Linked DNA regions of Oryctolagus cuniculus. The protein of the gene in region 2 interacts with the protein of the main gene of each other region in a pairwise test. Links are inferred from orthologs where the notes say so. Each region holds a gene or a part of one and is shown on either strand. Other genes may lie near its edges.

What was found.
Region 1: the proteins of NT5C2 (region 2) and NME7 interact in binary tests that used the Homo sapiens proteins (3 or more experiments, as listed by UniProt). The two-hybrid records come from large-scale screens. The link is inferred for Oryctolagus cuniculus from reciprocal best matches to the Homo sapiens genes NT5C2 and NME7.
Region 3: the proteins of NT5C2 (region 2) and NUDT18 interact in binary tests that used the Homo sapiens proteins (3 or more experiments, as listed by UniProt). The two-hybrid records come from large-scale screens. The link is inferred for Oryctolagus cuniculus from reciprocal best matches to the Homo sapiens genes NT5C2 and NUDT18.
Region 4: the proteins of NT5C2 (region 2) and FXR2 interact in binary tests that used the Homo sapiens proteins (3 or more experiments, as listed by UniProt). The two-hybrid records come from large-scale screens. The link is inferred for Oryctolagus cuniculus from reciprocal best matches to the Homo sapiens genes NT5C2 and FXR2.
Region 5: the proteins of NT5C2 (region 2) and MOB3B interact in binary tests that used the Homo sapiens proteins (3 or more experiments, as listed by UniProt). The two-hybrid records come from large-scale screens. The link is inferred for Oryctolagus cuniculus from reciprocal best matches to the Homo sapiens genes NT5C2 and MOB3B.

What each region holds. Positions count from the first base shown.
Region 1 is NC_091438.1:29,426,514-29,430,024, forward strand, and holds part of NME7 (nucleoside diphosphate kinase homolog 7), read left to right. Parts: intron 1-1,039; coding exon 1,040-1,247; intron 1,248-3,511. UniProt on the Homo sapiens protein: Possesses an intrinsic kinase activity. Displays 3'-5' exonuclease activity with a preference for single-stranded DNA. Does not seem to have nucleoside diphosphate kinase activity.
Region 2 is NC_091446.1:26,728,709-26,733,013, reverse strand, and holds the start of NT5C2 (cytosolic purine 5'-nucleotidase), read right to left. Parts: upstream 2,803-4,305; 5' UTR 2,763-2,802; intron 1-2,762. Other genes in the region: INA (alpha-internexin), read left to right, coding at 2,803-3,867. UniProt on the Homo sapiens protein: Broad specificity cytosolic 5'-nucleotidase that catalyzes the dephosphorylation of 6-hydroxypurine nucleoside 5'-monophosphates.
Region 3 is NC_091439.1:1,194,106-1,198,185, reverse strand, and holds NUDT18 (8-oxo-dGDP phosphatase NUDT18), read right to left. Parts: upstream 2,804-4,080; 5' UTR 2,698-2,803; coding exon 2,542-2,697; intron 1,900-2,541; coding exon 1,686-1,899; intron 1,399-1,685; coding exon 803-1,398; 3' UTR 460-802; downstream 1-459. UniProt on the Homo sapiens protein: Mediates the hydrolysis of oxidized nucleoside diphosphate derivatives. Hydrolyzes 8-oxo-7,8-dihydroguanine (8-oxo-Gua)-containing deoxyribo- and ribonucleoside diphosphates to the monophosphates. Hydrolyzes 8-oxo-dGDP and 8-oxo-GDP with the same efficiencies.
Region 4 is NC_091448.1:52,159,760-52,163,270, reverse strand, and holds part of FXR2 (RNA-binding protein FXR2), read left to right. Parts: intron 1-1,569; coding exon 1,570-1,740; intron 1,741-1,913; coding exon 1,914-1,992; intron 1,993-2,932; coding exon 2,933-3,042; intron 3,043-3,267; coding exon 3,268-3,354; intron 3,355-3,511. UniProt on the Homo sapiens protein: mRNA-binding protein that acts as a regulator of mRNAs translation and/or stability, and which is required for adult hippocampal neurogenesis. Specifically binds to AU-rich elements (AREs) in the 3'-UTR of target mRNAs.
Region 5 is NC_091432.1:190,810,290-190,814,229, forward strand, and holds the start of MOB3B (MOB kinase activator 3B), read right to left. Parts: upstream 2,808-3,940; 5' UTR 2,495-2,807; intron 1-2,494. UniProt on the Homo sapiens protein: Modulates LATS1 expression in the Hippo signaling pathway which plays a pivotal role in organ size control and tumor suppression by restricting proliferation and promoting apoptosis.

The DNA.
Region 1 (3,511 bases), on a different chromosome or scaffold from region 2:
ATTAGATCTCTGTTGGGGTTTCTAAAATCTAACAGCTGGTTTTTACCAAGGCAGCTGAGGCCTAGGAGAATGTGTATGACTGCGGGCCCCTTGGGGAGGAATACTTCTTGTACTGAAGGGATTTAGCTCCTGAAACATGATATACCAGAGAAGGACATTTGCAAGAACAGTCATAAAGGAACAGAAGGGCCAGTCATGATCCTTTCTCCAGGAGGAAGCTGACTTCTGTCCTCTTTGGATGAGAGGGAAACCTGGCCTTACTTTAAGAAGTACTTTATTCTTGCTAACACTTGCTTAAATAAGGGTATCACTTATTCATGGTTAAGTTTCTTGCTGCCTAGTACAGATATAAAACTGGAAAAATAAAATGAAGCACTATGTTTCATGCCTTGAGGGACTGTGACTCAGTGCTGGGTTTTCAATCAAGAACTTGTGTGTACCCTTTAATAATTTAGGATAGGATACCCAGAGTAGCTTTTACACCAATAAATGGATGTTTCTTGAAGGTCTGTGTCTTTCTTTCCTCTTAGTCACTAATCCAATTGAATGTGTATTGATTCAGAGTTCTTTTTCAGTCTTTGAATGATAATAGTTCTACACAAAACTAATGGAATTCTCATTGAAAATTTATAAGATATCATTTATAACTTCTTATATTAAAAAAGTTTACTCAATTTTAAGGGTAACCCACATAAAATTAAAAAAAAGGAAAATCCTATTATTTTTAGAGCAATGGGGAAAACAGATAAGCAATATGCATTTTCAGTCGATGAAATAGTCTTCATTCAACAAAATAGTGATTTTTTTTGCCAATAGTAATTGATTTAACGTTGCTACTGTAGTGATTTGTAGTGAATCTGAAAACTATGTAACAGTCAATTTATGAAAATCTAACCACGTAAATTTCGCTATGTCTATAGTTCTGAGATCAAAATGCTCATGTCTGTATCACAAATTTAAATATGTCGTTGTTGTTAAGAGAGATTCCTAATTTGTCAGAAAAAATAAACAAATTGATCTTTTTTATCCTGATTTATAGTGAGCTGATCCAGTTTATTTCAAGTGGTCCTATAATTGCCATGGAGATTTTAAGGGATGATGCCATATGTGAATGGAAAAGACTACTTGGACCTGCAAACTCTGGGGTGGCACGTACAGATGCTTCTGGAAGCATTAGAGCCCTCTTTGGAACTGATGGCATAAGGAATGCAGCTCATGGCCCTGATTCTTTCACTTCAGCTGCCAGAGTAAGGTGTTTTCTCAAAAATATATATTTTAGTTCTATTTTAGTATTGCTAAATGTTTTATGCAAATGTAAAGCATTTCTACTATTGGTGACTTGTGGATTTATGTGGCTGATCTAGTAATGAGAGAACTTTTGACCTTTTGCTTATGATCAAACAAGGTTTTAATGATACAATTAAGTCCCCTTGGGGCCAGCGCTGTGGCACAGTAGATTAATCCTCCACCTGTGGTGCCGGTATCCCATATGGGTGCCAGTTCTAGTCCTGGCTGCACCTCTTCCAATCCAGCTCTCTGCTATGGCCTGGGAAAGCAGTAAAAGATGGCCCAAGTGTTTGGGCCCCTGCACCTGTATGGGAGACCAGAAGAAGCTCCTGGCTCCTGGCTTCAGATCAACGCAGCTCTGGCTGTTGCAGCCATTTGGGGAGTGAACCAATGGAAGGAAGACCTCTTTCTCTGTCTCTCCTTCTCATTTTCTGTAACTCTTCCTCTCAAATAAATAAATAAAATCTTTAAAAAAATAAAAAAATTTTAAAACAAACAATTAAGTCTCCTTTATGAACTGGTAACCTGCTCATAGCCAAAATTGTTCTCCAACTTAAACACTTTTTTCCAAAGACTTGAATTATTGAAAGCCACAGATCTTTGAATTATTGAATTCATGTAAGAATGCTAGTTTATGGGTAGTAAATATTTTTAAAAATCATTTGATATATTATTTCTTTGATTCAGACTTAACAGTGTTTTCAATAAGATTTTTTCATTTTCCTACGATATAGCTAGTGTTTCTAAAAAAGTTTCCCTATATTTATTCGTTATTTTTTTTAAATATAAAGTGTTGCATTGACTTTATACTGAGGTTAAATTAATGAAGTAAAAATTTATTATTAGCATCATGAGAAGTTTTTCAGCCTAATTAAGATGATTCAACCTAGCCATACTTGCAATAACATTATGCTAGACTATTTTAGAATAATGTATTTTTTTCTTGTAATTTCATCAGCAAGTCCTTTAGCTCCACTTTCAGACTCTGAATCTGATCATTGTGGTCAAATTCATTTTTCTGTTTTGCTAGAACTGCAGCAGTAACCTCCTAATTATTCTTTTATCTTACACTCAGTGTTTTAATATGTTCCTTGCCCAGGAAAAATTAAGTATGCCCAATGGTTTTCTTTTTTTTTAAGAGGCTTTTTTAAGAGGTGTTGCTTTTTTTGTTTGTTTTTTGTTTTTTGTTTTTTATTTTACAGGTAGAGTTATAGACAGTGAGAGAGAGAGACAAAGAGAAAGGTCTTCCTTCCATTGGTTTACTCCCCAAATGGCCGCCATGGCCGGCACTGCGCCAATCCGAAGCCAGGAGCCAGGTGCTTCTTCCTGGTCTCCTGCACGGTGCAGGGGCCCAAGCACTTGGGCCATCCTCTACTACCCTCCCAGGCCACAGCAGAGAGCTGGACTGGAACAGGAGCAACCAAAACTAGAACCCGGGCACACATATGGGATGCCAGCGCCGCAGGTGGAGGATTAACCAAGTGAGCCACAGTGCCGGCCCCCAGGTTTTCTTAAAATAAATCAGATTAACATTCACCTGTTGAAAACTCTTCAATTTCTGTCTCTTGGAATAAAATCTAAAGCCTTTATTGTAGCCTCTAATGCTCTAACTGATCTGGCCTCTGTCTTTGTATTTTTATCTTTGACCAGTCTCTACCTTAATCTCCATGTTCTGGGAACACTATCATACTATTCCTTGAATATTTCTTTGTGGGATGTTCCACAAACAGTGAATGCGGCAATGTTGGTCAATTGGAATGAGGGTCGGTGGGGCAAGAGTGATGAGATCATAGAAATAATCAAGGGAGAGGTCGTCTGGTCTTAAAGACGATTGTAGTACTTTCGGCTTTTGTCTGAGAGAAATAGTCGTTTCAGGGTTCTGAGAAGGGGGCTGACATGTTTTACTTGGCATTTAAAAGGATTAGTCTGAGTGTTGCATTGAGAATGGCTGGAGAGGGCAAGAATAGAAATAGGTAGCCTAATCAAGAGTCTGTTGCAATAATTCAGAGAGATGATGGCTGAGGCTGGGGTGGTAGCAATGAGAAAAGTATATAAATGTATTTTAAAGTATTTTAATAGTTGAAGGGTGAACGAGATTTCCTGTCAGTTTGAATTCAGCCTATGAGAAAAAGATAAACAGCAAAAATTATTCCCAAGTTTTTTAGCCTGAGCAACTGAACAGATAGAGTTTATGGGAGCAGAAATTGGCAATCAGTAGGATGTG
Region 2 (4,305 bases):
GGATTAGAGTGACGGCCACCTTGAACAGCAGCCAGAAGGAGGCAGACCTGTGTAAAAGTGCAGCCATGATGGCTGGCAGACAATGATTGATTACTTGGTGGTGTCAGCACACTTCCATCTCATTCTTCACCAAGACTTTCTGAGCCCAAAGACCTCAGAATTAAGTCCCCCCAGCTCAAGTATTTGGTCTGTGACAAGCAACCAGATGGGGAGGCTGCAGCTGGACTCCACCGTCTCACACGATATCAAGCATAGGCAGGAGGTATGCTCCAGAATTCCATAAGATTCCCCCTTCCTGGACCGGAGCTGAGGCAGAGCAGGTAAAGCCGCCACCTGCACTGCCAGCATCTCCTATGGGCGCTGGTTCAAGTCCCAGCTGCTCCACTTCCAATCTAGCTCTCTGCTATGGCCTGGGAAAGCAGTAGAGGATGGCCCAAGTCCTTGGGCCCTGTACCTATGTGGGAGATCCAGAAGAAGCTCCTGGCTCCTGGCTTTGGATCAGCCCAGCTCCAGCTGTTGCTCTCTCTCTCTCTCTCTCTCTCCCTCTATATAATTATGCCTTTCAAATAAATAATCTTAAAAAAAAAAAAGATTCCTCTTCCCCTTTCTTGGCTGGCCTTCCCCAGGTAATATCATGTGACCCTGCCCCCATGAGAGGAAATAAACATATCCTAGAAATACACCTGGAGATTTCTAGACCAAAACCAGCCCTCAGTCTGGAAGTCTGGAATACAACCAACACAGTCCTGCTAGTCCGTCTCTGAAGCGAGGCCCACATCCTGCACCACGGTATAACCCTGAGAGCGCCTACCGACAACCCCATGTTGACCCCTCCCAGCCTCATCTGTCTACATCTGTCTAGAGCCCATTCTGAAATTCCTTCCACTGTGTGTTAAAGGAGGCCAGTGCAGTCACCAGTGCTCTTCCCAGCTCCTGAGGGTTAATCTGCTTGCAGGGACCTCTTCTGTACAGAGAGAGCTCTGCAGAAGTGGCTAGTTCTCCAAAGCCACATGAGGGCCTGTCCTGCAAGACTTACAGAGGCTGGACTGCAAATGCCCACTGGGCCAAACGGGAAAAGTAAATGACTTTAGTAGGTAAGGGCACTTCAGTGGCGAGTGATGGGGCCAGCTGTGAAAGAAAGAGCACATTTCGTGAGCAAATGGCACACCCCACCTCCTCCCGTCATGCCAGCCCAGCTCTTCCTATCTTAGAAGCAGCCAGATCCAATTTCTTTCTAGGTGAAACCCCCCAAGCAGTTTTAAAAGGCTCCTTTTGAAAAAAAATTTTTTTTGACAGGCAGAGTTAGACAGTGAGAGAGAGAGACAGAGAGAAAAGTCTTTCTTTTCTGTTGGTTCACCCCCCAAATGGCTGCTTCTGCAGATCCAGAGCCAGGAGCCAGGTGCTTCTCCTGGTCTCCCATGGGGTGCAGGGCCCAAGGACTTGGGCCACCCTCCACTGCCTTCCTGGGCCACAGCAGAGAGCTGGACTGGAAGAGGGGCAACCGGGACAGAATCTGGAGCCCCAACTGGGACCAGAATCCGGGGTGCTGGTGCCACAGGCAGAGGATTAGCCTAGTGAGCTGCAGCGCCGGCCTGAAATGTTTTAAAATAAAGCGCTTGGGGCAGGCATTCGGTGCAGTGGTACAGCAACTTAAGTCATTACCTTGGGTGTCTGCACCCGCTGTGAGACTTCCTGGTTCCAGTCCCAGCGACTCTGTGCTTCTGAACCAGCTCCCTGCTAATGCACACCCTGGGAGGCAGAGGATGATGGGTCCCTGCCTCCCACATGGGAGACCCAGGAGTTCCTGGCTCCTGGCTTCAGCCTGACCCAGTCCTGGCAGATGCCAGCATTTAGACAGTGAACAAGCACGTGGAAACCCATCTGTATTTAAGTAGTTCTCTCTTGGTTTATCTGCCTTTCAAATAAAATGAAAATAAGCAAATGAACAAAATTAAAAAAAAAAAAGTGCTTGAAAAACGAAGTCTGCAGCCCCTTCTCGCATCTGTGATTCTAATCTGTACCGCACTAGTGCCCTGTGGACCGGCCCCAGTAACTCCCAGAGCTTCCTCCTCTTCCAGGCCTGGCCCCTCTCTCCTCTACCACCTCTTCTTCCCACTCTCCCCAGCTTCAGCTCGGTGCACCACTCCCTGTCTTTACCGATCTCCATCTCCGGGGCCTCCCAGGCGGGCGGGCGTCGCACCCTCCCATCCCGGGATCTCCAGAGGCCCAGCCCCGCAGCTGCTCTCGGAGAGCCGCAGACACACTTTCCCTCTGGGAACCCGGGAGCCCGAGGTGGGGGACAGGGCCTCGTCCGGAAAAGCAGGACTCACCCTGAGGAACGCAGGGATGGGGATGGGTGAAGGGCACATCTCCCAGGAAGCCCTGCCCTCCCGGTGGGTCAGAGGGGGAAGGCGGGATACAGGCCAGGGACGCGACAGAGATGCGCGTGGTCTCCGGGTGGGAGACCCCTGAGCTCAAGTTTCTTTCAAAGCACTCGATTTTCGGGGGAAGAGGCGCTGCGGACGGAAGGCGGCTTCTACGCACTAGGGCCTGTCCCCGCGCCCTAGGTAGGTCGCGCGCAGCTGCGGTAGGCACTGCGCTTCCCCGCCCCCGCTCCTGGGTGCCCCCCTTCCTTCCCTCTCCCGGCCTGGCCCGGAGCTGGAGCTCCGCCCCCCGCGCCCCGCCCCGGCCCCCCGCGCCTTAAAAGCCGGTGCGCACCGCCCTGCCGCACCCCGCCTGCCCACCTCGCCTTTGCTCCGTACCTCCAGCCGCAGCCGCACGCCCGGCGCCGATCCCGGCACCATGAGCTTTGGCTCGGAGCACTACCTGTGCTCCGCCTCCTCCTACCGCAAGGTGTTCGGGGACGGCTCTCGCCTGTCCGCGCGCCTCTCCGGGGCCGGCGGCGCAGGCGGCTTCCGCTCGCAGTCGCTGACCCGCTGCAATGTGGCCTCCTCGGGCGCCTGCTCCTCGGCCTCGTCCCTCGGCCTGGGCCTGGCCTACCGCCGGCTACCGGCGTCCGACGGTCTGGACCTGAGTCAAGCGGCGGCGCGTACCAACGAGTACAAGATCATCCGCACCAACGAGAAGGAGCAGCTGCAGGGCCTCAACGACCGCTTCGCCGTGTTCATCGAGAAAGTGCACCAGCTGGAGACGCAGAACCGGGCGCTCGAGGCCGAGCTGGCCGCGCTGCGGCAGCGCCACGCCGAGCCGTCGCGCGTCGGCGAGCTCTTCCAGCGCGAGCTGCGCGACCTGCGCGCGCAGCTGGAAGAGGCGAGCTCGGCGCGCGCGCAGGCCCTGCTGGAGCGCGACGGGCTGGCCGAGGAGGTGCAGCGGCTGCGGGCCCGCTGCGAGGAGGAGAGCCGCGGGCGCGAGGGCGCCGAGCGCGCTCTGAAGGCGCAGCAGCGCGACGTGGACGGCGCCACGCTGGCCCGCCTGGACCTGGAGAAGAAGGTAGAGTCGCTGCTGGACGAGCTGGCCTTCGTGCGCCAGGTGCACGACGAAGAGGTAGCCGAGCTGCTGGCCACGCTGCAGGCGTCGTCGCAGGCCGCGGCCGAGGTGGACGTGGCTGTGGCTAAACCAGACCTGAGCTCGGCGCTGAGGGAGATCCGCGCCCAGTATGAGTCCCTGGCCGCTAAGAATCTCCAGTCCGCCGAGGAGTGGTACAAGTCCAAGTTCGCCAACCTGAACGAGCAGGCAGCGCGCAGCACTGAGGCCATCCGGGCCAGCCGCGAGGAGATCCACGAGTACCGGCGCCAACTACAGGCACGCACCATCGAGATCGAGGGCCTGCGCGGGGCCAACGAGTCTTTGGAGAGGCAGATCCTGGAACTGGAGGAGCGGCACAGCGCTGAGGTGGCCGGCTACCAGGTAAGGAAGGGCTGGGCACTCTGTCTCTGCTCGAGTCTGCGCTGTCTGGAACACGGGCCCTGGGAACCGAAGGGAGGGTGAGCGAGAGAAGAGCCCCGACTGGAGGCGCTGGCGAACAAAAAGCCCTGGAGTCTCCGCTCTTAATTCTAGCAGCCTGGAAGCCCTCCTTCTCTGCCCCTCACTTGGATTCCTGTCTGAGCTCTTCTAACAAAAGACCCCTTAAAATTGGAAGTTCTAACATGTATGCTTCTTTGTTAGCAAGTGGGCACACACGCGCTGGCGACCTGCAGGACAGTCCCCACCCCCAATAAGAAGTGAGCCATGGGAGCCGGTGACAGCCTCCCCGCGGCTTGTTTGGTTGACTTTGAAAGGATTTCTGTGAGCCCAGGAATTGGTGTTTCTGGGATATGGTCTGCCTCGGTGTTGGGGGAAGGTTTC
Region 3 (4,080 bases), on a different chromosome or scaffold from region 2:
CAGCGTGGCTGGACACAGGCCTGAACACAGCCAGTGGCACATTTTGTCCCCTGTGGTTTTTCCCCTTGTGTTTTTCGCAAAGCTGAAAGAAATCCCACCATGGGTGGCCTGGGCTGGGGGCAGTGGAGAAAAGGGTTTCCAGCTTGGACTGGACTTGTGAAAAGGCCAGGCGGTGGAGGATCCGGCCCAGGGCGGGCCAGGAGAATGGAGCTGGGCAGAGACGGGGACACCACTCACAGCTCCCGTCCCACCGGCAGCTCTCTGCAGATGCCCGCTGCTCCACCCCGCAGGGTTATAGCTGAGCCTCCCTTGGGGCTGTGGTCCCCTCGGTGACGTCCTGCCCGGTGCCAGTGCCAGCACACTGTCAGGGAAAGGCCTGGGCGGCGGCCACTGCTGAGCCGGGGGCCACACAGCAGCAGCCCCCTCGTGTCCTCCCCACACAGACATTTGGGCAGGAAAGGCAGGTGGCAACACCTGTTTACTCAGCAAGGGATGCCCTCCTGGTCCCCTGGGAGCCCCAAGTGCCCGCAGAGGCCAGGGCGGGGCCTTCATGGGGGTGCACACAGAACAACGAGACTCCAGGATGCTCCCGCGTCCCCCTCCCCAACCCGGGGGGGAGACGCATCGTGTGCCCTTGGCGGCAGGGCCCTGGACCTCTGGACCCTTTGCTTGGTGAAGGCACTGTCCCTTCTGATGCACTGTGGTAGCCTGCTCCCCGCAGGCCCCGAGACCCAGAGCAGCCTCTGCTGCCGATGCAGCACGAGCCCAGATTGCTGGCTTCCGCGTCCCTCGGGGAGGGCACCTATCTGTTCAGTGGGACAGCAGAACAGTCCAGCAACCTCTGGAGGAGCTGGCCCTGCAGGCCTGCATCCCCCACCTTCCACCACGCGTAGTTCTCACCCCGAATCTTCGGGGGCTCCTCCTGGATGCCCGGGTTGCGAAAAGCCACCGCCAGCAGCACGTTCAGGCAGATGCCGTCGGCATGGTCCTTGCCCAGGTGCTGCAACCCCAGCAGCCCCTTGGTCTCCACGGCCAAACTGTGCAGGGTCAGGCACTCCTGGAGCAGCCGCAGCACGGCCACCTTCAGGCCGCCCCTCTGCTCCATAGGGGCGAAGTCACAGGCCGTGACGGGCAAGTGAGGCGCCCCCACCGTGCCCACCAGCACCCATACCGTCTGGGCACCGGTGAAGGTGGCCACGAGCCGCTGGCACACCACACTGCAGGGCAGCTCCTGGGGCAGAACGGGAGGGTGCCTGGCCTGCTGGCGGTACCGGGCGGCCAGCTCTATCAGGTGCAGGATGTCCTGGGCTCGAAGAGGAGTGGCCAGGGAGCTGCGTGGGTACCAGCCAGCCTGCAGGGACTCCGCATCAGCCTCCTGTGAGGTTTTCAGCGTCCCACCTAGGGGAGAGTGGGGGCAGGAGCAGTGGTGTGGGTGGGAAGAAGCACCGGATCTCACAGAGGACACAGACCCGGCAGGCCACCCTGGTTCTAACCCCGAGCGGGGCCGGGGCCGGGGCTGAGCCTCCCCCACTCCCACCTCCCCAGGCTAGGGTCTGCCAGTGCCAGAGCTGTAGCAGTCAGCACAGGGCTGGCTAGGGAGTGGGCTCATCTCACCGGAAGACCACAGGGTGGGGGTGGAGGAGTCGGAGGAAGGCGGCTACGGCACTGCCCCAGGAGAGCCATACCTGTGGGACGAGCCAGGAACACAAAACGGATCCAGGAGGGGCCTCGCTCCTCCACGGCAAGCAGGGTCTCGGGCTCACACTGCAGCCCCGCCTCCTCCTTCACCTCCCGCTGCAGGGCCTCCACGATGGTCTCCCCGGGCTCCATCCTCCCCGCCGGCAGGTACCACGACCCCCGGCACTCTCTCTTGGCCTCCTGGATCAGGAGCACCTCGTCCTGAGGGGAGAGGGGATTGGCACTCTCCACCACGCACGGGAGAGGCCAGCCAGCCAGGCCCTTCCCTGCCCTGGGGTTGCCCAAGACCCCCTCCCTGGGGGCGGGGGGCCTGCAGCCAGCTGCTCTCTGTGGGTCAAGATCGGGCTGCGCGTGTGTCTCCACTGTGTCACTGTGTGTCTCCCGCGTCCCCATGGGGTGCACAGCCTAGTGGCAGGTCCTCACTCTGGGGTCTGGGTTCTGATCCCCCCCCAACACCCCCATGCAGGCCCACCTGGGGCTCTGGCCCCTTCTGATTCTTATCTCACAGCCTACAACAGGGACCCAGAGCAGCGACAAGGGGTCAGATCTGAGCGTGAGCCTGCCTTGTGCCATAACCAGGCGGGGGTGGGGGTGGGGGGGCGCAGGCCACGCCTCAGACGTCCCGGGGAGCCAGCTCACACCGTGCTAGGCCCTGGGGGAGGGGAGCTCTGTGCTGCAGGAACCGAGGGCCAGGGCGCAGCCCTCTGTGCACCCGGCCACCCACAGGGCTGCGAGGCGCGCGTGAGTGAGTGCTTTGCAGAACTGGGGAACGCCACGCGCGAGGCGGCGCCGGCCCTGGCCGTTGTGTCTTCGTGCCCAGCAGGGCCCGGCGGGCTCGCTCACCTGCTCGTTGAGGAACACGGCCAGCACCACGTAGGAGACGTTGGTCCGCAGCCGCGCTCGCGGCTGCCCGGCCGGCCCCGAGTCACAGCTGTGCACGCGCAGCCCCCGGCCCTCCAGCACGGCCGCCAGCGCCCCCGCCAGGTCCTCCGAGGCCATCGGGCCCCGGCGGGCGGTGGCCCGGGCCCCGCGCAGCGGCCAGGCGGGGCTGCGGCCGAGCGTGCGGCCCGGCCCGCGCCGGCGAGCTGCCCAACGCGGAAGCGCCCGGCGAGCCCTGGCCGCTGATAGGCTGCGTGGCGCCGCGGCCCGCCCGGATTGGCCCGCGCCGGCCGCCCGGGGCGGGGCCAGCCCGTCAGGGGGCCTAACGCCCTGTGGGGCCGAGCGGACCTCCGGCCCGGCTCCTGCCCCAGGGTCAGCGCGCTGTCTCTCTCTCTCTGTCTCTTTCTGTCTCTCTCTCGCCGCGGCTCCCCGAGCGCATACTTGTTTACGCAGGTTCCGATGGTGACGCCATCTGGCCCGCAGGGTGCGGGGCGCCGCGGCGGTGACGTCACAGGCCCGATGACGTCACGGCGGCCAGGGTGTCCGCCCCGGGACCCGCGGCCCCCGCCTTTTGTCTTAACCCGCCAGGGCATTGTCTGAGATGATGACGACCTAAGTAACTTTCTTCTGACTTCGCTGACACGTACTGGATGTCCCGCCGAGGGCTGGGGTTCGGGAACGCGAGGTTCTGATCCATAATAAAAAGTCGGTTGAGGGTGACAGCCTAAATGCTAAGTGATCACGATCGGGGCGGGCCGGACGCGGGGAGGGGACAGGGCTGGGCACTGGGGGCTGCCCTTAGCGTCCTCCTGTCCACGGCGTGTCCTGCGCAGGGCGCTGCAGCGTGGCCAGCTCCCGCTCGCTCGGCTCAGCCTGACCTTTCCTCCTCGCCGCCAGCTGGGAGGAATCCGAAGAGCCAGCCAAGTCTGGGCTCCTCACCCACACAGGCCTCCCCCACCGGCCCCTCCTCCCTCCGCCTTCGGGGGTTGGGGACAGTAGCTGGCTGATGAGAGCAAAGCCACCCACCCGCCCTGCTGACCGGCCGGCTCTGCGCTCCTTGGGGATGTGGTGGGCTTCCGATTAGGTTCCTGGCAGCTTTTCTTGGCCAGGGTGGATGGCAAGGCAGGCTATTCGAGAGGAGCCGTGTGGGCCCCGGGCAGCCCCGGAGCCTGCAGGCTGGGCTACGCCGCAAAGGCCCACCCTCCTGGCTTGTGCCTGAGAACAGGTTCCACTGGGGAGCCGTAGACCCTTCTCGCGGTGGGGGACTGGCTGCACGCTTGCTGCAGACAGAGCCCTGTGCAGGGCCACACGGGCACCCCCTAAGCTTTTGAGGCACTTGCCCTGTCCAACACCTCTCAACCAGCTCCCTGGGGCTGGGTGCAGTACCCCAGGACAACAGATTGGCTCCGTGCGTGTGTGATCCTCAGTTTTCCCACCTGTGAAGTGGGGGCAGTACTGCTGCCAGACTCCCTTCTGCCTCCAGGGATGACTGAACGAGAGAGT
Region 4 (3,511 bases), on a different chromosome or scaffold from region 2:
GGGGCCCAAGAACTCGGGCTGTCTTCCACTGCTTTCCCAGGCCACAGCAGAGAGTTGGATCAGAAGTGTAGCAGCTGGGACACGAACTGGGGTCCATATGGGATGCCGGTACCATAGGTAGAGGCCTAGCCTACTACGCCATAGTAGTGGTCTCATCGGTCTTTTTTTGCTATTGCATTTTCTAAAAATTATTTCAAAATATTGCCTATATAAAAGATAGACATGTGCAGACTTCTGTAGAAAACAAAAGTCTGTGTAGATCTTTCCCGAACTCAGTGATGCTTGATCGTCCAGTTTGTTCCCTTTTTTCTTCAGCTTTGCCATCTTGTCTAGTGTAAATTCTTGATTTGGGAGTATTTCATCTTAGAATTAGCAGAGTATTTGAAATTTTCCTGTCTTCCTGCCCTTGAGTTTAGGAGCCCTGGTTGAGAAATGTGGTGTTCCATAGGCTCATTTTTTTCTTTTCTCAGTCTCTTGCTTTCTAATCAACTTGTTGGGAGAAGTTGGTATTCATTTAGTTAAGGTTAGTTATTTACACTTTGCAGATCACATGAACTTCGTCAGATCTTGCTGGTGTTGAAAGTGGTATAGGTCAGATGTAGCCACTTAGCAGGTGACAGGTCAGAGGCACAGGGTGTGTGTTTTCTCTAGGATCACACAACCACATGGTGTTAGAGCCAAATCCAGAACTTTGGTGGTTCTTCTCCCCTCAAGCCATTGCTATTTGAAAGTTCCTGAATTTTCTGCATAGTTCCTACCGGTCAGCTGACTCCAGTGTGGTTTTGTTTTTTTTTTTTTTTTAATTTATTTATTTATTTTTATTTATTTATTATTTTTTTTGACAGGCAGAGTGGACAGTGAGAGAGACAGAGAGAAAGGTCCTCCCTTTGCCGTTGGTTCACCCTCCAATGGCCGCCGCGGCCGGCGCGCTGCGCTGATCCGATGGCAGGAGCCAGGTACTTATCCTGGTCTCCCATGGGGTGCAGGGCCCAAGCACCTGGGCCATCCTCCACTGCACTCCCGGGCCACAGCAGAGAGCTGGCCTGGAAGAGGGGCAACCGGGACAGAATCCGGTGCCCCAACCAGGACTAGAACCCGGTGTGCCGGCGCCGCTAGGCGGAGGATTAGCCTAGTGAGCCACGGCGCCGGCCGGTTTTTTTTTTTTTTTTTTTTTTTAAAAGATCGATTTATTTATTTGAAAGGCAGAGTGACAGAAAGTGGTGGGGGGAGGAGAGTGTGCTTCCATATGCTGATTCACTTCCCAGATGGCTGTCATGGCTGGTGGTAGGCCAGCCAAAGCCAGGATTCCATCCAGGTCTCCCTCGTTGGTGGCAGGGGTACTTGGGTACTTGTCTCCCTGGTGCGTTAGCAGGAAGCTGGATCAGAAGCAGAGCAGCCTGGACTCAAACTGGCACTCTGATAGGAGATGCCAGCATCACAAGTGGTGGCTTAATTCACTGTGCCACACTGCTAGCCCCCAGCATGCTTCTCTGTTACGCAGAGTCTACTACCTGGCATAGGTGTTCTGCGATTCCACCACCATGATTGTTCGAGTGGTTTTCCTTTCAGACAAGCAAGCAGCTGGCAGCAGCATTCCAGGAAGAGTTTACAGTGCGAGAGGACCTGATGGGACTGGCAATTGGGACTCATGGGGCCAATATCCAGCAGGCCCGAAAAGTACCTGGAGTGACCGCCATTGAGTTGGGTGAAGAAACCTGCACTTTCCGCATCTATGGGGAGGTCAGCAAAAGATCTGTCTTCAAGATCCTGTAGTGGGTAGAGGGAAGGGAGTGGGAAATAAGCCTAAGCTATGTGACTTTGCTGAACTTGGCAGCATATCTTCCCAAAGACAGGAAGATCGTTATTTGAGATCCAGGTCCTGTTTTAGTGACGCCACTTCATTCTTCCCCTAGACGCCAGAGGCATGCCGACAGGCTCGGAGCTACCTGGAGTTTTCTGAAGATTCAGTGCAAGTGCCCAGGAACCTGGTTGGTGAGTTGGGTGTGTGTGTATAAAAGAGAGTAGTTAGGGGCCAGTTGTGAGTCTCCTTAAATGACTCTGGGCTTGTAGTGGGTATTGGTAACTCTTGATTTCACAAGGACAGAAAGTCTGTAGTCGGAATAAAAAAAAAAAAAAAAGGAAGAATAAATTTCTAGGGATAAAATTTTTTACTTTCATTTTAGTAGAAAGGTAATTACATTTTTTCTTTTTGTTTTAATTTGACAATTAGAGATATAGACAGAAAGGTCTTCCTTCTGTTGGTTCACTCCCCAAATGGCCGCTATGGCCAGCGCTGCGCCGATCTGAAGCTAGGAGCCAGGTGCTTCCTCCTGGTCTCCCATGCGGGTGCAGGGCCCAAGGACTTGGGCCATCCTCCACTGCCTTCCTGGGCCACAGCAGAGAGCTGGACTGGAAGAGGGGCAACCAAGACTAGAACCCAGCGATCATATGGGATGCCAGTACCGCAGGTGGAGGATTAGCCTAGTGAGCCATGGCACCGGCCCCAAAAGGCATTACATTTTCCATCCACTAGTTCACTCTCCAAATGTCTGTAACAGCTAGGGCAAGGTCAGGCCGAAGCCTGGAGCCCAGAACTCCATCTGGGGTCTCCCTCATGGGTGGCAGGCAGGGACCCAAGTATGCATGAGCCATCATCTGCTGCCTCCCAGGGTGTGCACTAGCAGGGACCTGGATTGGAAACTGAGTAGCTGGGACTCGAACTAGGAGCCCCAGTAGGGAACATGGGCATCCCAGCAGCAGTTTACTGTTGGGTCAGACATCCGTCCTTTCTGTAAAACCTAACCAACAACTTAGAAGCAGGAGAATTAACGAAATGCAATCTGTACAGAGAGAGAAGGATGAGGCTGGGAGGCTGTTTTGACCTTACCTTTAAAAAAAAAAAAAAGGCCTAATTCCTCCTTTACCCATTTAGGCAAAGTGATCGGAAAGAATGGGAAAGTGATCCAGGAGATCGTGGATAAGTCTGGTGTGGTGAGGGTGCGAGTGGAAGGTGACAATGACAAGAAGAACCCCAGGGAGGAGGTATGGGCCAACTAGGACTAGAGGTTGGTTTCCACAAGTAGGTGGGCTTGTTCTCTGAGGGCTAAGACTTTGGGGGCAGGGAGGATGCACAGAAATTCTGTAGCCGCTCTAGTAACTTTAGAGCTAGACTGATGCCATTGGGTGGGTTCCCCTGGCGACTGGATGGGGCTAGCACGTGGCGTTCTACTATTCTTCCTGATCAGCTTTCCTTCCCTCTGCTCTCAGGGGATGGTTCCCTTCATATTTGTTGGCACTCGAGAAAATATCAGCAATGCCCAGGCCCTGCTGGAGTATCACCTCTCCTACCTGCAGGTACACGAGTCTGAAACCTGGGGAGGGAAGGGCTGGGCAGAGCAGGGGCCAAGACTGCTGCCAGATAAAGTCCGCAGCTGTGGCGTGCGGCTCGTTCCTCTGTAGAGTGGGAATGGGAGGTGGAAATGTGGGGCTGTGGGACGGGTCACAGGATTCT
Region 5 (3,940 bases), on a different chromosome or scaffold from region 2:
GTGGTACACTGTTTGATTCCTGTATCTAAAGATCTGGAAAAAGCTTCGGAAATGTGTAGTGCCTTTCATTGTTTAAGTCAGAAATGCACCCACGTGGAAGACCCAGACGGAGCTCCTGGCTGTGGCTTGGCATAGCCATGGCGGCTGCAGCCATGTGGGGAGTGAACCACAAGCAGAAAATACTTTCTCTTTCCCTTTCTCTTTCTGTGTCACTCTGTTTTTCAAATAAACAAATAAATACAAGCCCCAAAGTTCTGTTAAGTCTATAAAGGAAAAATTCTTAGAACTGTGTAGAGCCAAGCACAATTTCCACTAAAAATGTTTGAGTGAGTTCCCAGGTCACAAGTAGTGTGGTGATTCACCCCAGAAGGAACGTGAGGTTCGGACTTCACACAGGACTCCAAGTTTAAATCCCAAGTTCCCCGAAAGCTCCTCCCTCCCCTGAGGAGGTGAGGGATCAAAAGTTGGAGGACATGGGGCTAGGGTGGCAAAGCGGGTTAAGCCCCTGTTCCAAACAGCGTAAGTCCTTGGAGCTACTCCAGCTCTGATCCAGCTGCCTGCGAATGTGCCTGGAAAAGCAGAAGAAGATGGCCCCTGTCCTTTGGCCCCTGCCACCCACAGGGGAGATCAGGATGTTGTCCCAGGCTCCTGGCTTCTGCCCCGCCCAGCCCCAGCCTTCACAGATATTTAGGGAGTGAACCAAGAAATGAAAGATTTCTCTCGCTTTTTCTATGACTGCCTTTCATGTGAGTATTTTTTTTTAAGTTGAAGGACAAAATGAGTGTAATTGAACCTCCTTGGAAGAGGGGCTCCTTTTGTGGTCACCCCACAAAACCCAGTCCACTGCCAGGCTATGCAAAAGTATAGGTTCCAACAGGTGTGCAGGCTTGGCCTCCCGCTCACAGGCTAAATGACTCTGAGCACCACCTGGGGCCCCTGCCTTCTCCCAGAGGTAGCTTTGCTCTCCACGAAGCCCCTTGATAGGTAATCCACATTGCCCGAGAGGGAACAGCGGGTGTGAGCATCTAACTTGAACAGGGAACCAGGGCCACCTGCAACCTGCACAGGGAAGCTCGGGCCCAGCCCAGGTCACCGGGTCTTTCTTGCTCGGCCCGAATCCTCAGGATCCGCTTTTCCTACACTACAGGGAGGGCACTTCAAGCCCTAGTGAAACCAGAACTCTAGGCTTAGGCGGAAGCGAACCACCGCACTACAGATTTCCAGGCTTGAAGCTAAAAGTCTATTTGCATCTCCCTCCCTGCCCTCCAGTCCTTGGAAACTTGCAAACCCCAGAACCGCGGCTTTCTGCCTAACCAGAGGGGCCCTGACACCCTCCTCCTGCCCTGGCAGCACCCAGCCACACCGCTTTCGCAGGGAGACTGAAATGGAACCAGCCACTGGACACCCTGGGGCGGGGCGGAACCTCCTTTCCACTCTCTCGAAAGCAGCACCCTTTTCAAACTTGCGCCCTTTGCGGCGCGCCTGGGATAAGATCTGAAAAATGCGCCCTGGGCCACAGGCAGCCGAGGAGGCGGAGAAGGGACCACTTTCCCTCCGCCCTCCTAACCACAGGGCCTCGGCTGGGGCGGCCTCTCTAGGGTCGGGCTCCTCTCTCCCTCGGCCCGGATCCCCAACCCGGGCGGGCCAAGCGGCTGGCGCGGGAGGCACGGGGGACCGGGGAGAGGGGCGACAGAGGGGCTTCTTTCGCTTCCCAAGCCTCGCCAGATGTTGGAAAGGCAAACAATGGGAGAAACGCGGAGAAACAAAAGGCCATTCGCCGCGACCACAGCCGGCTCAGTAGCGCGGTCCCCGCGGGGAGGGCGCTAGGAGGGGCCCGGGAAGGAGGGTGAGGCGGATCCCGAGGGATTTAAGGTCTCTAGTACCTGCCTGGCGCCAGGGTTCGGCCCTTGACCCTCGCGAGAGGGGTCCGAAAGCGGGGAGGAGCAAGCGAAGAAAAGTTGTGAGGTTTTCCCCCTTCCTCCCCGGTACAGGCAAAGGGAGGGGCTGGCACTGCCGAAGCTTGACAGCTGTTGGCCCAAGAGTTCAGCAGGATTTGTAGGTTCTTAACTCACTACCGCCCTCCACGAAGCACCCGCAAGCCCCGGGGCGACCCGGCTGACGGCGCGGAGTTCCCCGACGCGGCCCCAAGCCCAGCCGGACGCTCAAACGTGATCCCCCTGCCCAAGTGCACTTGCCGAAAAGTTGTTCTCGCCACACACAGCCCAGCTCGGCACCCCGCACCCATCTGCGGTTCCGGACCGTGGGAGGCGTTTTCGCTCAGATCTTGTAAAGTCAAGGCCACGGATCCCGCGGTGGGAACTCGACCCTCGCTCCTGCCCGGGTACTGCGCCCAGGGAGCCGGCCGGCAGCCACGGCTGGGGCTCGGTTTTAAAGCGGGCTCTGGCCCCGGAAGCCCCGGGGACTGAGGGCAGGAGAGAAGGGTCCGACACCACCCCCACTCCCCTGTTGCACCCGCCCCAGGTGTACCCCATACCTCTGCCCGCCTGGGCGCGAACGGGAGCGAGGAGCTGCCGGGCTGCGCCGCCTTCCGTCGCCCGGAGCGGTTCTCTCTCACCGCGGGGATTTACCTTCGAGCCAGGGCCCTGTCGGCTCCCTTCACTGGATCAGCTGCAGGCGGCGCGAGAGAAAAGCAGTGAACTCGGGCAGGAGGGGAGACGCTTGCGGATCCACACGAGGGGCTCTGGGGCCAGCGCCCGGGCTCCCGCTGCAGCCGCTGCGACTCCAAAGCAGCCCCAACATGCGCCCAGCGCGCCGCACAGCCCGCCGGGGCTTGACGAGCAGCGTGCGGGACGCCGAGCGGGGACCCCTGGCGGCCGCCTGCGGGACGGCAGCTCTGTGGGTGAGCCTTCAGGATAGTGTTGCCTCGGGCAAGTTACAGGATGTGGGCCTTGTGTGGGGGCTCCCAACTTTGCAGAAAAGACGCTGACCCTTGGGCCAGGGCGGCGAGGAAGATGTTACTTGAGAAAGGAGGCGTTGGATCCACCGCGGCCACTTCCAGACCACCTAGAGAGGAAAGTGTTCCTAGTTCATAGTAGGAGTCATCAAATGCCAGCTCCCTGGTGTCCTGAGAGAAAGAACTGGGTCTTCCTGATCCTTCTGTAGCGTGTCATGCATATTGCCTGAGGAGTAACAAACGACTAAGAATTGCGTTTTAAGGGTCTGTGTTGGAGCTACTTGGAATCTGCATCATGTATCTGAGTGCCTGTGTTTGGGTCCTGGTTCCATTTCAGCCTCCTGTAATGTGCACCCTCGGCAGCAGCAGGTGATGGTTCCCCCGCACTCAGGTGAGAGACCCTGATCAATTAGCTCCTGGCTCATGTGGCCCAGCCCTGGCTGTTACAGGCATTGGGGGTGGGGGTGGGGGTGAACCAACACATGAAAACTCTCTCTGCCTTTGAAATAAATAATTAATAAATACTTTTTTAAATTGCCTTTTACAATTTTTAGGCACACTTTCAAGAGACATGGAAATACATTAAGTAGAATTTAGGATATATGGAAAAAACATGGCTCCCAAAAGAAGCTTCCACAACTACTAAATGAGACTCCAAAAGCCCACATATCTTTTGTGATGGCTGGTCATCTCTGATATTGCAAGCATTTTATTAAATACCATTCGCCATTGGTTTCCACCAGGATCGTATGACTCTATTTAATTCTGCATTATTTGGGCAGGGAAATATATTAATGACTATGAATTTAGAACTCTGCCAGATACAAAGATGCAGCCACCAAGCAATATTCCTGTGCATCCCTGAGAAGTGCAACCTCATTTCCAGACAGCCCTAATCTTCAGATGCTCAAACCCCAGTCACTGCACTCAAAGCTGCTTTTGTTCTTTGGTGCGCATGACAATCAGAGAGCCCTTCATTATCTAGCACAATTAGGATGGAAATGGCCCTTAATTATTCCAGTTTAC